Callithrix jacchus: one gene and its partner. The protein of the gene in region 1 purifies or fractionates together with the protein of each later gene. This does not show direct contact. Links are inferred from orthologs where the notes say so. Each region holds a gene or a part of one and is shown on either strand. Other genes may lie near its edges.

What was found. The genes of interacting proteins can lie anywhere in the genome.
Region 2: the proteins of CUL1 (region 1) and FBXO22 purify together in Homo sapiens (affinity purification with mass spectrometry; 11 studies listed by BioGRID and IntAct, with this or other methods). This does not show direct contact. The link is inferred for Callithrix jacchus from reciprocal best matches to the Homo sapiens genes CUL1 and FBXO22.

What each region holds. Positions count from the first base shown.
Region 1 is NC_133512.1:99,019,675-99,028,094, forward strand, and holds the start of CUL1 (cullin-1), read right to left. Parts: upstream 5,631-8,420; 5' UTR 5,452-5,630; intron 5,364-5,451; exon of another isoform or gene 5,245-5,363; intron 5,100-5,244; exon of another isoform or gene 4,973-5,099; intron 4,318-4,972; exon of another isoform or gene 3,870-4,317; intron 1-3,869. UniProt on the Homo sapiens protein: Core component of multiple cullin-RING-based SCF (SKP1-CUL1-F-box protein) E3 ubiquitin-protein ligase complexes, which mediate the ubiquitination of proteins involved in cell cycle progression, signal transduction and transcription.
Region 2 is NC_133509.1:25,071,423-25,079,199, reverse strand, and holds part of FBXO22 (F-box only protein 22), read left to right. Parts: intron 1-5,636; coding exon 5,637-5,802; intron 5,803-7,777. UniProt on the Homo sapiens protein: Substrate-recognition component of the SCF (SKP1-CUL1-F-box protein)-type E3 ubiquitin ligase complex that is implicated in the control of various cellular processes such as cell cycle control, transcriptional regulation, DNA damage repair, and apoptosis.

The DNA of each region.
Region 1 (8,420 bases):
TTTGTTACATATTTTGCTCTTTAAAATTCATATTAAATTACACTTTCTAGTAAGGTATGAGCTCATTTGTCCATACCCTCGCCATAAGTGGCTTATTTGTAATCTATGCCAATTTAAACAAACAGTATCTCACTGATTTGCATTTCTGCAAGTACTGCTAGTGAAGTTCAAAGTTTTTTCATGTTTCCTGCTCCTCTTTTTATAAATTACCAGTTTGCCCATTTTTTTCCATGGGGGTGAGGGGTCCTCTTGGGTTGTTGCTGTTCACATGCCCTCTTTTTACAGTAAGGAAAGTACATTTGCTTGTAAGTTACATTATTTTTCTGTTTGCCATTTACCTATTAATTCTGTTTATGGAATTTTAACAGAGAAGTTGTATTATTCTAAATAAAATCTTTTCCTTTATAGTTCCTATATCTAGGTCTTCATCTTGAGATTACCATGTTGCTGTTTTTTGGTTTTTAAATTTTTTCTTGAAAAAAATATTTTAAAAGCACCCAAGTTCACCCCCTAAAATGACAGCCATTTTTACTACTTTAAATATCTTCATTAGTACATACACACTTTATTTTAAATGTATTTTAAAATACATTTAAAATACACAGTGTATTTTAAATGGCTGCATCCATTTCATACAATCTCTTTTCCAAAGTATTTTCTGACACAGGCCTTTAAAAAACATTGCAAGCTTGTTAGATTTGAACTGTCTTGAATGGTTTTACAAATTTTTGCAAGGCCAATGAGTCATAACATCACACCCAATTTAACAATAGCCCCAAAGTTCCAGAACTGTTCATGTCTATGCTATCAGTGCCCAATTACTCTCCCACAATGTTACAAAAAGACCAGGAAGAATAAGCTCATTCTTGGTAGCAGATCACAGTTCTGCATAATGAATTCTGCCATAATGATCAGATATCAGTCTTTAAAGCTTTTCATTTTAGTCTCTTCTAGTCTTCTTCCACCTTTTATAAACCAGTCAAACCCTCAGGGAACATTTGGTTAAAAGCTTGAGCTCTGGAGTTAGCCAGGCTTAACCACCTTCCTAGCCCTGACCTTCACCGCTCAAAGTCTCAGCTCCTTCACCTGTATTCTGTAAAGTGGGTTAAACCATAGTGACTACACTTCAGTGGGCACTGTAAGGATTTCCAGTGGAAGGCTGTACGTGAATGTTGACGCATGCAGTACGCTAGTCACTGGGGACAGATGCTATCACAGCCTCCCTGTCCCAAAGGAGGGCAGTTTGGTGGGAGAAACCACCAAGTACAATCAAAAGGTTAAATATTGTGATAGTGACACAGGCAGGACACCACGGGAACCCAGGGAAGGCTCCCTGAGCCGTCAGTGAAAGAAAAGGCAAAGAGTCACATCTTGAATGGAACTGCAACAGCACTGAAGCGTGCAGGGAACACTAGGAAGGGCAGAACAGTGCTTACTTGGTCCATGTTTCCCAAGGGAAAAAATATACATCAAACTTAGGCTTCACAACCCTGCTTTTCAAACATGAATACAATACTTGATGTTCTTTGAGACCGTTTTTCCCAAAATGCTGTTAATGTTCAAAGCTGTGGCATTCCCATGGAATCCACATACTTTGAGGGCCTAAGGAAATCAACAATGTCAATTAAAAAACCATCTCATTTCACAAATGAGCAAATACTGGCCCTGCAAAGGTAAGCTTTAACTAGACTCAAGTCCTCTCTCCCAAATCAAGACGCTCTATACCTAAGCAAAAATAAATGACTACATCTCTCCATCACAGAATTTTTAGAAGTGAAATACCTCCATGCATGAATAAAAAACTTAAGTCATTAAATGTTATCATCCTGTTTATAGTGTGCTTACTCAATGTTCATTTTATAAACAAGAAACTTCTATAAAGAGGAAATTATGTCCTCGGCAAACACAAGACTTTTACCCAAATTGGATCTACTTCCCATTTAATGTTCATTTCTTCATTTGCAAAGCAAACACACGGATAAACTCCCAGATATTTTTAAAAAGCAAGACAAACTTAGAATTGGCCCTTCAAATGGTTAACTCTTTTCTCCAGACATACCTAAAACAAGTTCAAAATGAACCTGACAGTCCCCCAAAGACACTTTATTCCAGAGTGACTCAAGGTCATGGCTTTGGGACCTACAAAGGGCTGAAACAGCAAAACAAAACAAACCAAAACACCTTCATAAGTTCTTATGGTCCTAATGTTTTTAATTTGAAGAATGGCAAGTAACAACTCCTCAATTTAAAGTACATTCATTTTAATTTTCCATGCTGAAAGACAGACACAATGCCTCTGGGTATACTAGGAATGATATTCTGATGAAAGGGCCTCAGTGACCCAGGGATGGTTCCTCCCACAGCAACTTCCTATCCCACTTCAGCAGAACCAAGGGGCTGGCCTCACCTTTCCAACAAGGAGACGCCTCAACTACCAAACTGCTTCATTTCAAAGGCAAAGCTGGATACTCAACCGGGGGTGGGAGGACCTGATCCTGATCGCGTTTGATTGTGTTTCCAAAAAAAGTAAAAAAAAATTCCGCATCTTAAAACTAGTTTTAATGGGAAAGAAAGCTAAAGTTTCACAACTTGTTCTCTCTTGGCACTTTCCTGGACTTCACAGGTATAGAAAACCTGGGCATTTTTCTGTTGGGGCCCTGTACTAGATACTGGGGGGCTGTGGGGAGGTGCGAAGTGGAGAAATGGGAAGGGAGAGTGGCAAAGGAGAGATGAGAGAATCGATTTTACTTAAGTGTATAATAAAGCTTGCATTCTTAACCGGCTTAAGTGCAACGACTGTGTTTTCTGCAGCCAACAATCAGGGCATGTTTTCAAACACTAAGTTAGAATTATTCCAGAAAACTCACTCATTCAAAAATAAGCAATTGAGGCACCACCATAACCAAGTTGTTACTCTGGAGACGCAAAAATAAACAGGGAATATCCCCTGCGCTGAAGGAATTCAGAATCGGAAATGTATGGGAAATAAGGCTGTATTGTAGTTAATTACAGCTAGAAGATAACATTCAGTAAGTGGCAAGAGTCTAATGAACTATAATATCTAAGGAAACCATGCAGAATCAGCTCAGGCATGCGTGTCTGTCTTCTGATGTGGTACACACATTGGGAGTGGGGGGTGGGGAAGGACCTGAGCATGTGGCTCTCAAGGAAGGAAGCTTTTACAAATTGGTGAAAAACCCTAGCATATTTAAAGTTGGTTTGTTGTCTGACAAAACAGTTTTTAAAAGATGAAGCCAATGAGGAAAGAAGTTTAACATATTTAGAAAGCAATTCAGCCATCCCTCTCAAGCTTAAGGAACACTCTCCTGAAACCTCCAAAAATGGGCATAATAGAGTTAAAGCGAGCCAGTCTTGTGTTTGCATGCTTTGGAATTTGAAATGCAATGCAACTATTTCGACTCACCATGGAAAACAACAAATAGAACCTCGAAGTAAAACATTTTCCAATATCCAAAAACCTCCTTTAAACAAAGAAAAATCTCATCGCCAAATATTGTTTTCAAACAAAATGACTGGTTTTACATTTTAAATGTCATTACATATTTTACTACATAATCCACTCTCCAGGATTTCAAAAAACTGGGTACATTTTCGGGTGCACCATGAAATGAAGTGTTAAACTTAAAACTGCACACACTTCCGCGAGGCGTTAGGTCCTAGAAGCTCCTGGCTTGAAGTAAAAAAGGAATCTAGTTTCTCTTCTGCCGCTTCGTTAAGATTATTCCAAAAAGTGTGATCGTTTACTCCACTCAGAACTTTTGACGATTTTAATGCTACTACAGGAAAGAGCAATTACACTGAGCAAATAAATATTTAAGAAGACTGCAATTCAGCATTTGTGCACTTACCACGAACGCCTACTACGAACCAGAAGCAACCGAGAGTGACCCAGTCGGAAAAGAGAATCCTCTTTTTGGCAAAGCCAGCCAGGCAGAAAACCTTAACTTTGGGGATTCATTTCAAGCAGTGTCTACAAGCATTCCTCTCTTTCTTAATTATCTTACGTCTGCGCTACACAATATTGCACCGGTGGCAGAAACAGGGGTCTTTCAGATCTTGGGGCAAAAATCGCACGAACCCCGAGCCTGGGGACCCCAAGTCCCCGCAGCTTGCGCTCGCCCGGTTACCTCCAGGGTCATGGCGCGCGCTCCCGTTGGGGCCGGGGGCGCGCCGAGGCCGCGGCGCAGGGCCCGGCCAGACTCGCGAGCGCTAGGCGGGCGCCGTGGGGCTCCGTTCGGTTTTGCCGCCGGGCTCCCATCTCTGAGCGCCAGCCCAGCCCGCTCCCCGAGGACAACTGGGCAAAAGGACGGCTGTTAGCCAATAATAGCGTCCTGCACGGTCGCAATAATGCAGGCGCGGAACCCGAGAGCCGCGGGCAGGGAACCGGAAAGCGAGAGAGCCCGGCTTGGCGGCTGGTTGCGCGCGCGAGCCCGGGGCTCACAGGAGGGCACGCGTCGGCCGGAAAGCGGCGCCGAGGAGAAGCGTGGTCGTGAGGGCGAGAAGGGGCAAGGGCATGGGGTCCCGGTGTCCCGCGGAGATCGCCTCACGAGGCGAGGCGCGAACGCCCAAGTCGCCCGGGGCCATACGCCGGCCCAGCCTCCGCGGACCCAGCCCGGTCCCGACGGGGAAAGGGGCCGGCGCCACCAGGCCGCCGCCTCTGGGCGCGATGAATCGGGCTTTTTCCCAGTGCGTAGTCCGGGCCTGGCCGCCCCGGCCCGTCCGGGGTGACTCAGGGCCCAGCCCCGCTCGCTCCCCTGCCGCCCCCGGCGTCCTCCGCCCACGAGCCCCCGGGCCCGGCCGCCATTCTGCCCGGCCGCGTTTCGGCGGCTCAGGCCTCGCCCGGCGCCTGGGCTCGGCAACCGCGGCCCGAGTCACTGCGACACCGCGGCTCGGGGCCGGGCCTGCGCCGCCGCCACCACCTCCTTTCGGCCCTGCGGCGGCCGACACTCACCCGCATCTCCGTAGTGCCCAAAAGGCTCCCGCGACGCCTCCGCCTGGTCGCTGGGCCTGGGCCCCGGCGAAAGCCCCGTCCCGCCAAGGTCTGGCTGCGTCCCTCAGCCACCCGGGCTGCCCCGCCTGGAGCTGCGTGCGACACGGAGCCCGCCTCCTCCTCCTCCCCTGCCCGCCCGGCCCTCCTCCTCCCGCCGCCGCCGCCGCCGCCTGCACCACGCAACCTCCGCCCTCTCGCCTTCTCTCCACGGCTCCCCGCCCTCCCGGCCTCACCGGCTCCGGCGACCGCGGGGGAGAAGCTGTTGGGGGAGGGCCGGAACGCACCGCCATCGGCGTCCGGGGCGGGGGAGCCGGGAAACCGTCGTCGCCATCGCCCCGCCAGCCCGAGACGCGGGAGGGGCCCGGAAAGCTCCCGCCCGCCCGCCGCCCCGGGGGCGCCCCTTCTGTGGCCGTGGCCCCCGCTCACGTGGGGCTCTTTACCTGCGAGCCCACGGCCCCTGCCCCCTGACACCCGAGCCATCCCCGACCCGGCGCGCTGGATCCTCCGCCAGGTTTTACAGCCTCCCTCGCCTTGGGGCCGCCGCGGAGGACCCGTTCCCGCCACTTCGGACCTCGCCAGCGAGAATGAGCTGCTTGGGTCGGGGACACCACCAGCCTCTGAAGAAAGGGCCCGAAGCACCCCAAAGGAGAGGGGCTCGCAGTCCTCCTGCCCCTCCCCTGTGCGCACAACCCCCGTCCCCCGCTGGCCTGGAACTCGACTCCCCACTTTTGTCGACCGGGACTGGGGGATGCACCACAGATCAGAAAGTCAGAGGTGGCCAGGTGCCTCCCAGAATCGGCGCGGACTTCCAAGGAACGTGCAGCTGATTCTCGACCCCCCCCTTAACACCTGCAGGCCTTAGGATTTGGCTCCAGACACATTTTATCTATGTGTCTCTTTTTAAAAATCACTTCTAAGGTCAAACCTAACTAGGCTTTCCCTCTTCAGACTCTTTCACTAACTGCTGTTTGGCAGATTTTGACATTTACTCTACCCTTGGTCTTTGGAAGGACAAATCAAAACTAGAAGGCTTTGATTACATATAGGGATGGCATGAGGCATGATGTAAAATAGTATTTTCACGTGTAGTTCGAAGTCATCTCATTTGAAATTAACTGTCATAATTGGCTATTTGGAATATTCACACTAAATACTAATTTTGGCAGCACAAATAGCCACCTGCTGCTATGGTGACGGGCTGGAGGAAGCGTGGTGGCCCCCCCGCACCTAGTGAGGGATGGCTGATTAATAGCACGGCTCACAACGTCACCGAGCGGCTCATTCCACGAACAACCCCCGGGGGATTTCGAATTCTGTCATCTGGGCAAAAGATGTGATGAGTGTAATTTTGTTTCCTCCAAACTAAAATGCTACACAGATTCCAGTACCACTCGGGACAGAAGGCCTCAGTCAGAGCAGAGGGCTGTCCCCAGAGTCCACAGTTTACTGCATAACATGGGTTTGTCTCAGAAGAAACATCCCACTGGTCTATGTGATCCCCTCTATCGAAATGTCTTGGCCGGGCGCGGTGGCTCATGCCTGTAATCCCGGCACTTTGGGAGGCCAAGGTGGGCGAATCACGTAGGTCAGGAGTTCGAGACCAGCCTGGCCAACATGGTGACCCCCCCCCCCAGTTTCTACTAAAGATAAAAAAAATTAGCCAGGTGTGGTGGCAGACACCTGTAGTCCCAGCTATTTGGGAGGCTGAGGCAGGAGAATTGCTTAAACCTGGGAGGCAGAGGTTGCAGTGAGCCGAGATCATGCCATTGCACTCCAGCCTGGGCAACAGGGCAAGACTGTCTCAAAAAAAAAAATGTATTTTGTCTACATCTAAGTATCTGTAATAGTAATGCATTTGTCACTTAGGTATGTCATAATCCTTTCATTTGTGCAGGGTGTTGGGGTGGGAAATATTCTTGGCCTCCTATTCTGTGACTTCCTCCAGCTAATAGAAAGGCTGAGTGGGTCAGCCTTCCCTTTATTGTATGTTTCCTTTGCCCTCTGTTTTTTCTTAATAGGAGTATTTGGTTCACCTACACCACCCTCCCTCTTCTCACTGCCTCCGAGATTCCTGGTTCTTAACTCCTTTCTATTCTTTACCCTCACCTGCCTACACGATCATTCTTAGCAGCAAATTTATTCCATTGACTTTTATGTCCACTTAACAACCAGATTTGCATTTACTTTGGGCAGATAACCTTGCCTCCTGCCTAACAGGTCAAGGCCACCTGCTGCTCCCTTTCTACTTTAAAACCTCCTTCCTCCATCTTTCTCCCCCAGCTCAGCAAAATCGATGTCCCTCTCAGATGACCCAAAGTTTGGAGGGATAATTAATTTGATGGATGTCAGAATCAAAATTCAAAATAGTCTGAACAGACTAGAACATTAGGCCAAAAGCAGTGACATAAAATACAACTTTCAACTCGACAATATGATGTACTAGTTGGAAAAGCCCAAGTTTTAGATTTTAGTGGGCTTTGGTTTATATTCAGTTACTCAAATTTGAGTCATATCCAGTAACTCAAATTACTAATTTTTGCTCTAGTTAAGTCAACTGTTAATTTGGGATAAAAATACCTACATCATAAGAGTGTAAAGAGTAATTTCTTCATAATTCGTGGAACATTCACCAGCCATTAGTCCCCCCTCATCTTCCACAAAGTGAATGTGCCTGTTGCCATTCATAGCACATTCTTTAATTCATGCAGACCTGGAAACAAACTCAAAATCCTGGCCCATTCACCTTGTATCCCAGAGCTGTCACCATCCTAGAGAAATCCTTTGCCTGTTTTGAGTCAGTCATTATCATCATACCCATTTTTCATTTAAAAAAAACTTAAGGCTCAGAGATGTTAGGCAATTTGCGTGAAATCGCTCAGCCTGATCAGTGCATAATGTGACCCGGTGACTCACTTCTGTATATATCCACTCCTTTACTAAGATATTCTCCCACACTTTTGTTGGTTCTTTAACCTTCTAAATGCTCTTCCTGGTTCTTACCTCTTCTTTATCCTTCCGCTTGTGTCATGACTGATGGCAGATTATTCCTTGTAAATTGATACCTTCATCATTATAATTTTGTCCTTCCAAACTTCAGTAGTTCCATATTGTGTGTAGGGTTCAATCCAAATTTGGACCTGGCACTTAAGGTTTACCATATCTTGTCCTAACTTGCTTTTCCAAATTTATTTCCTGCTACTTCCCAAAAGGAACTCTCAATGCCATTCAGTTGTTCCTCTAACAGGTACTGTTCCCCCTTCTCTCCTCCAACTCCAAATCATGCTCACTTTTCTTTTTTTTTTTTTTTCATGCTCACTTTTCAAGATCCAGCTCACACCCCCCTCCCAGGAAGCCCGCCACCTTACACCTTCTACTCAAGCTTTGTGACCTCTCCCTGATTGCCTTCTCA
Region 2 (7,777 bases), on another chromosome or scaffold:
TTTCCTTGTGATTCAGTGCTGCCGCTAAAGGTCATATGGCCAAACCTTCTCTGTGCTGCCTTTTTTGTCCAGAGAGGTGACATGACTCTTCCCTGGGCAGTACTCTGTCTTCTGTTCCCCCTCCCCCGCCCCCTGAGCTTCCTGGGAGTCTTTGATGAGGCCCTGATATTGTACTGGTTGAAGCTAGGACCCTAATTTTGTTAGTTTATAAGAAAGCCGAAATCTTGAGCAGGAGACCCCCTTTTATGATAAAATTATTGTATTTGTTAGATCATATTTGTATTATAGTGCCAAGTATAGGAAGGAGAAAACTGGAAGGAAAAACAACTCCAAAATGATTGGGCTCTGTGAAGCTTTCTTATAGGTGTCCTTTCCTGAGCTGCTTGATGTCAGCGGTTTTGGCTTATTCAAAGGCATCATTTTCTTCTGGAAATTGAAGCTTTTCCCAGCTTAAAATGGCCATCTCCATTCTTTCATTTGCTATCTTGTGTCCTAATTTTAGGTATAGTTGGCCTTCCATATCCGTGGGTTCTGCATTCATGGATTCAGCTGACCACAGATCAAAAGTATTTGAGGGAAGTGCAGCAGGAAGCAGGTTTCTAAACACAGGAGTGGCAAAATTTGATAGATCTTTTGAAAATACCACTCTTACTATGGTGTGGTGATCATTTTAGAGTACAAGAGTGGATGCAGGACTAGCTTAATTTAGCCATTCAATAGTGTATATATATTTCAGAACACCATGTTGTACATGAGAAATATATGCCTTTAATATTTTTCAGTTAAAATACTTTTTTAAAAAAGTAGATGCAGGAGAAACAGGGTATTGTGGCTGAGGAAAGAGGAGATGGCAGCTTGGAGCAGGGCAGTGGTGAGGAGTTGAAGAGAAGAGGTTGGATTCAAGATGAAGTTTGGGGCTGAATGGACAGGATGTGGTTGGTGACTGATGAGATGTTGGGTGTTGAGAATGAGGGAGGTGGCAGTGGTGTCATATGGGTTTGTGGCTAGTGCAGCTGTATTATACATTGACTAATGCATTTTGAAAGTATCAAATCCTCACACAGATTCTTTAGGAGTAAAACAGTACATAACACGTTGTTACAGGCATTAAATAAGTTAATTTCTATAATGTACTTAGAACAGCGCTCTGTACTAAAGTATTTGTTATGAGATTGGTAGTCTGGTGATGTACTTGATTGTTCAGGTTCTTTCTGCTCCCTGCTTTTTGATCCTTTAATTACTCCTCTTGAATTCTGCCAGCCACCAAGAGGGTTAAAAATGGAACTTTCATGACTTAAGTCAGATTCCAAAAAAATCTGAAGAAGGACAAAGTTTTAAAGTTACCTGCAGACCTCATAGAGAATCTTGAGGGGTCATGGCAATACCAGATGTGAAGCAGAGAGAATTAGTACTGAAGCTCAAGGGATTGAACTTGTTCTGCTTGAAAGTTGCCCAGCCCCTGGGAAAGCAGAAGTGGCAGGAAGGTAGTGTTAAAGAAAAAGCGATGCTGACACCTTTTAAAGAGACCACTGTGACGGGGTTTTGCACTGGGGAGGGAGATCAGGCTCAACTCCAGATGCGCCAACCACAGGTGGGGATTTATAGCCAGGGAGGAGAGTGGGGGCTTGGTGGATGAAAAATTCCTAGTAATTCTGGTAATTCTTTGCTAAATGTACCTAACAGGATTATTACTGGAAAGAACAGTTTCATACTATTCCAAAACTAAAGACATCTCTTGGTAGACACCTGCAGTAGTTAACTTGAATACTAGTTACCATTCCTACATGGCAGGTCAATCTATTCTGTTAACTGAGGTTACATTTTGTAACCAGTTTATCATCTTGGAAGGTTCACCAGGAGGTTACACTTTATGAAGTGCATTATAAATACTGTCCTGGAATTGTTTTTTAATAGTTGTGGTGCGTCCCTGCTAATGTATCAACTTTTGGAAAATTCTAGAATAAAATCTGTAGTCAGATGCAATGGCAGGTGGCCCAGAACACTGGGTCCTTGATGACCCTTTACCTATGAATTGGAGGGAACCCAGAACCTTTCAGGAAAAATTGGCACTGCTCCTTTCTCTTCCCTCCTATCTTAGGCCTTTAAATTTTGAGTGGCAAGGAGTTGGAGTTGTACCTTCCCTCTGTTATCTTCTGGTAGCACCAGCTAGTCTGTGGGTTAAATGCAGAGCCATCCGCTCTATCAGGCAGCCAGTCTTGGCTAAGGTGGGTTTGTTCACTAAATTGGGGTAGGGGAAAGTGATTCCACTTTCTGGGGTTTGTGGGGAGGGGGAAATGTTCTTTCACTGAGAGTAAACCCACTGGAGAAGATGGTTTTAAACAAAATGTGTGACTGAGGCAAAAATCTAAATCATTCGAGGTTTACTGAGCCGGAGGTTGAGGGTTTATCCAGGGAAAACACTAGTCACAAATGAGTGGCCATGTACTCTGAAGAGGTTTTCAATACATGTTTCTAAAGGAGGGAAAGAAGGAAGGGGAAGGATAGGCCCAAGGTGAATGGTTACATTCCTGTGAGATTTTAGTCCAGTAAATTTATATTTTACAGAGGATAAGGTAAACCTTTTGAAGAAAGGAAGAACCAGTTGTGCGTCTCAGAGTAGGTGGATGAATTACTGATCTCATCTTGTTTTTGTGCAGCATCTGGGAAGATAAGCTTGTAATGAATGTTATCAGTGTGGAGTTGAACAGATTGCAGTCCTAAAGTTACAATTGACATGTCCTTGTTTTATGGGAGGATGTATTTAAAGGTTTGAGGCCAGCAGAGATTTTCCTTATGAATGACTTGTGGAAACACTCATCTGGCAATGCCTAAAGCCTTTTGCATTTCCTGGCGGGGTGGTGGGAGTGTGTGTGGGGTAAGTCTGGCTAATGTAGAATGCAACAACACAGGGTTGTGAAGTAGCAGCTGTTAATTTGGGGTGAGGATGGGGCTTCACTTGACTCAGCCTCTAGGCTTAACTTTCCCTTTGGCATAAGGAGTTTGGAGGTCCCGAGATTTTTTTTATTCTCCTTTACTTTGGGTACGTGTTTGTTAAATGAATGGGAGTGGTGCCTTTAGAATATTCAGATAAGATGTTGAGTAGACAATTGTAAAAGAGCATCTAGAGCTTAGAAAACAGTAGGAAAGGTTGAGATCTAGAAGTCATAAGGTTTCTAAAACCTAAATCCCTCAGTGTCAGGAGATGTGTGTGGGTTTTAATGTAGAGTCTGTCATTATATTGTCCTGGGGTAGTGAGTTCTCTGTCATTGGTCGTCATTGTTTGTAAAATAAAACTGGACTGTTGATCTCACAGGCCTCTTCTAAGTCTGAAAATTTGTTCTAAAGAAGAAAATATATTCTCTCAAAATTTCGTGGGGTAGTCTATAAGAGAAGAAAGATCCTTTAGTAATGGTTTGGGGTATATGATGTCATGAAAGTAATACTCTTTTTACTGTCCAAATCAGTAATTTATTGTGTAGAGAATTGGAAATAGACCAGAGGCAGTTTCCCAGAATAGGTCATTGTTTGGTGTTAGCAGTTGGTCATTCATGAATCTGCATACCCTTTGTTTCCTTAATGTAACTGCCTTAGGTCTGTCAAGGTAGAAGTCATGTGGTCAAATTAAATGGAAGCAGTGTGTTAGGTATTGGATTCATTTTCCTGTCCCCAAAGCACCTCTGTTTGGTAATGCTGGCAGAAGACATACATGTGGCCGACAATGATGAAAAAAAGCTCTACATCACTGATCATTAGAGAAATGCAAATCAAAACCACAATGCAATTCCATCCCACACTAGTTAGAATGGCTAGTAAAAAGTAAAAAAATAACAGATGCTGGCTAGTTTGTGGAGAAAAAGAAATGCTTAAACACTGTTGGTGGAAGTATAAATTAGTTTAACCATCGTGGAAGACAGTGTGGTGATTTCTCAAAGACCTAAAGACAGAAATACCATTCGACCCAGCAGTCCCATTACTGGGTATATACTCAAAGGAATATAAATTATTCTGTTATAAAGACACATGCACATGTATGTTCATTGCAACACTATTCACAATAGCAAAGACATGGAATCAACCTGAATGCCCATCAGTGATAAACTGGACAAAGAAAAATGGTACATATATGCCATGGAATACTGTGAAGCCATAAAAAAAAGAATGAGAACATGTCTTTTGCAGGGACACGAATGGAGCTGGAGGCCATTATCATTAGCAAACCTACACAGAGACAGAAAACCAAAGACTGCATGTTCTCACTTATAGTGGGAGCTAAATGATGAAAATACATGGACACAAAGAGGAGCACAACAGATACTGGGGCCTACCAGAGGGTGGAGGGTGGGAGGAGGGAGAGGATCAAGAAAAACAACTAATGGATACTGGGCTTATTACCTGGGTGATGAAATAATTTGCACAACAAACCCCATGACACACATTTCCCTATGTAACAAATCACATGTACATGTATCCCTGAACTTAAAAAAAAAAAATCAAATCGATAGTCTGTAAATAAGCTGCCAGAGGCTCCTGTGAAACCTGGGAGCTGAGGCCAGAGCGAGTAGGCTGTCTCTGTTACACTCTGCCTCCTCCTGGTGGTAGCAGCTTTTAGTCCTTGTCACAGAATTGAACATTTTCCTGCTTTGGAAGGAACTTTTAAAGGCTAATTCACTGGCTTCCCTGGAGGAAGTGAATAAAGCCTGTATTTCAGTGATATAGTAGTTTCCTGAGGCTGCTGTAACAAAGTTCCCCAAATTTGGTGGCCTAAAACCAGAAATTTATTCTGCACAGTTCAGGAGGCCAGAAGTCTGAAATTGAGATGGCAGTAGGGGTAGTGCTACCTCGGAAGGCTCTAGGGGAGAGTCTGTTTTTTTTTGTTTCTTCACAGCTTCAGTTTCTGCCTCTGTGGTCACACTGCCTTTTCTTCTCTGTCTCTCCATTGTTAATCTTTCATTATGAGGACACTGTCACTCGATTTAGGGCCCATCTGGATAAGCCAGATGATTTCATTGCAATATCCTTACTGAGTAACATAGTGAGACCCCATCTCTACAAAAAAATTAAAAATATCCTTAATTACATCTGCAAAAATTCTTTTTCCAAATAAGCCTACATGTCTAGGTTTCAGAGATTTGATGTGGATATACCTTTTGGAGGGGCAGGGGGCACTATTCACCACACTATAGGTGGTTAGCACCTTTTCTCTCCTTTAAAAAAAAGTCTTTAAATTCTCACTGCTACCCCAGCTCTGTGTAAACCAGTGTTTCCTTTTGTTCCTAACCAGGAGGCAGCTTGCACCTTGGTCCACCGAGGGTTGCTGCTCAGTACATAGCTGCTTTGTTATTTGTGTTGATTGTATTATTTCTTAGTCCAAATAGCCATTTAGTTTTTTTAATAGAAAAAAATTGTAATTAAGATTTTGCATAATGTTTGTAAAGAATGGAAAACGTGACAAGATCAAAGAAGATATAAAATAAGATTTTAAAAATGTAAAAAAATGGAAAACTTGATAGCTTAAGCCACTAAATTGCCCTTACCAGGGAGTGCAAGTCATTAACAGTAACATTTCATTTTGTAACATGTATAGAATAATTTCTGTTTTATGGCTGTCTTTAACTGTTGCCCTTGTTTCTCTGCAGGTCTTTTAGATAACCCTGAACTTCGTGTGGTCCTTGTCTTTGGTTATAATTGCTGTAAGGTGGGAGCCAATAATTTTCTGCAGCAAGTAGTCAGCACTTTCAGTGATATGAATATCATCTTGGCTGGAGGCCAGGTGGACAACCTGTCATCACTGACTTCTGAAAAGTATGTCTTGTGTGCTTCTGATTTCCTCTGTGAATGAAGGGAAATGGTCTCAGGTTTTGTCACTTTGGGGTTCACAATTTTAAAAACATGCTTAAAGAATTGTTAAGAATTGTGAACCCCTAAGTTTATTCCATTTTGCAGTGGACATTGGTTAAGGGGCTTATTCAACATAACTCTGCTTATGGTTGGAGAATTACATTTTTAAATACATTGTCCTTTAAGAACTTCTTAGTTGGACTCACATTCTCCCTAAAACTGATGTTGCCATTGCCCATTGATCTTTCCTTTGACAGGTGTGGTACTCTGTGTGACCTCAATATGTCACTTCCTCTCTAGTTTCCTCCTTTAAAGGAAACACATGGTTAAAGTGTATCTTTATGGCAGAACTTCTCAGAGCCTTTAATATGCTCCATGCTTTGGAAATCTGGAAGGGGAATAGTATTACCTGTGACAGTTCCCAAATCTATTTGGTCACAAAACCTTTTGTCCACAGAGCATCTTGCAAGTCCTACTGATTTTTGGAAATTCTGTATTAGATCTTTTGAAAGGCTTTTTCAAGATCAAAAATTGTGGAACTTTGATTTTTGTTACTAAGGCTCTTGCTTTCAAAGATAAAAATATTTGCTGTTCTGTCTTGGAAGCCATTACTTCCTTTCCATCTTGCATGAAAGTACATACCATTTTGAGTTTGAACCAGTTAGGTGGACATAAATGTCATTGGTTTCTAACAGGAAAATGAGACCCTGTCCCACCCTCAATGCTTGTAAAGACTAGCATTTGTTTCCCACTCTGTTTAATATTCGCATCCTAGAGTGGTGACATGGGGACACTCTATGTCCCCATGTCAGACTATTGGAGGTCAGTATCCATAAGAATAATGTAAGTCATCCTAGTTACAGTTTCTCTTCTGGTAGTCTCTGCCCAGAATAGACCTAGGAAAATAGTTAAAGTTGAGGTCCCTGGAGTAGAGGTCCCTGGACTGCCAGGGAGGAGGAAGAGAGGAAAGCCAAGTACTTTGAATTCCAGGCAGTAGGATATCAAACACTGGGTTTCGGGCATACATACACCAAATTCTTGGTGGCTAAGTTATTTCCCCTCTTGCCTAATTTTTCCTGTGTCTTTACTATTAACTTTTAAATTGTATATCAATAGGGCAATGGTGATTCAACATACAGTGTACCTTTGAAATGCAGATATCTCACTCAAACTTAGAACATCTGAGGCACTAGCTTGTTAGTGTAGCTATTTGTATATCATCTACTTTTTATACCTAATATGAGAAACACCCCCCCCATCATTACTCTTCACATGACTCATTAATTTTAATGTGGCCTTCATATTCTGTCAGTGAGTGGGTAAGACAAACCATTGAGTAAATGAGTGCTCCATTTTAATAAAGTCCAGATAACCCAACTGACCCAGGGCCCCAAAAGGAAGGTGAATCATTCTTTGAGGCAAGATTGACAAGTGTATTAACAATTGTGTACCAAAGAGGAAATCTGATAAATGTGATAAAGTTTTAAAAGCAGCAGAGGACTTCAGAAGATGGATTTTGCCCCTCAGAAACTCATTTTACTACTAGCTAGCTTTATTATCTTAGTTACTTACCCTTTTTTGAGTCTTAGTTTCTCACTGATCCAGTGAATCTTGCCCATTTTACAGATTCAGATGTTGGAACCATGATAGAAATGTAACATACTTGTTTCTCCCCTAGTGGATGTTCACTATATTATGCTTTATAACTCTTATCAATGTTGCATTTTCTTTTGTAAGGATAAAATACTTCATTTTTTAAAAAATACTAGGCAAATACAGAAAGCATGAGTTTTTAACCATCAAATTAAGCTGAACTCTAGACTCAAAGCAATAAACAAGACAAAAAAAATCACATTTTCTAGTGGACTAGACATAAAGCTAAAACTTGCAGAGTTAAGAGGTTTTTAAATTATCCTCTAAGACTGGGCACAGTGGCTCA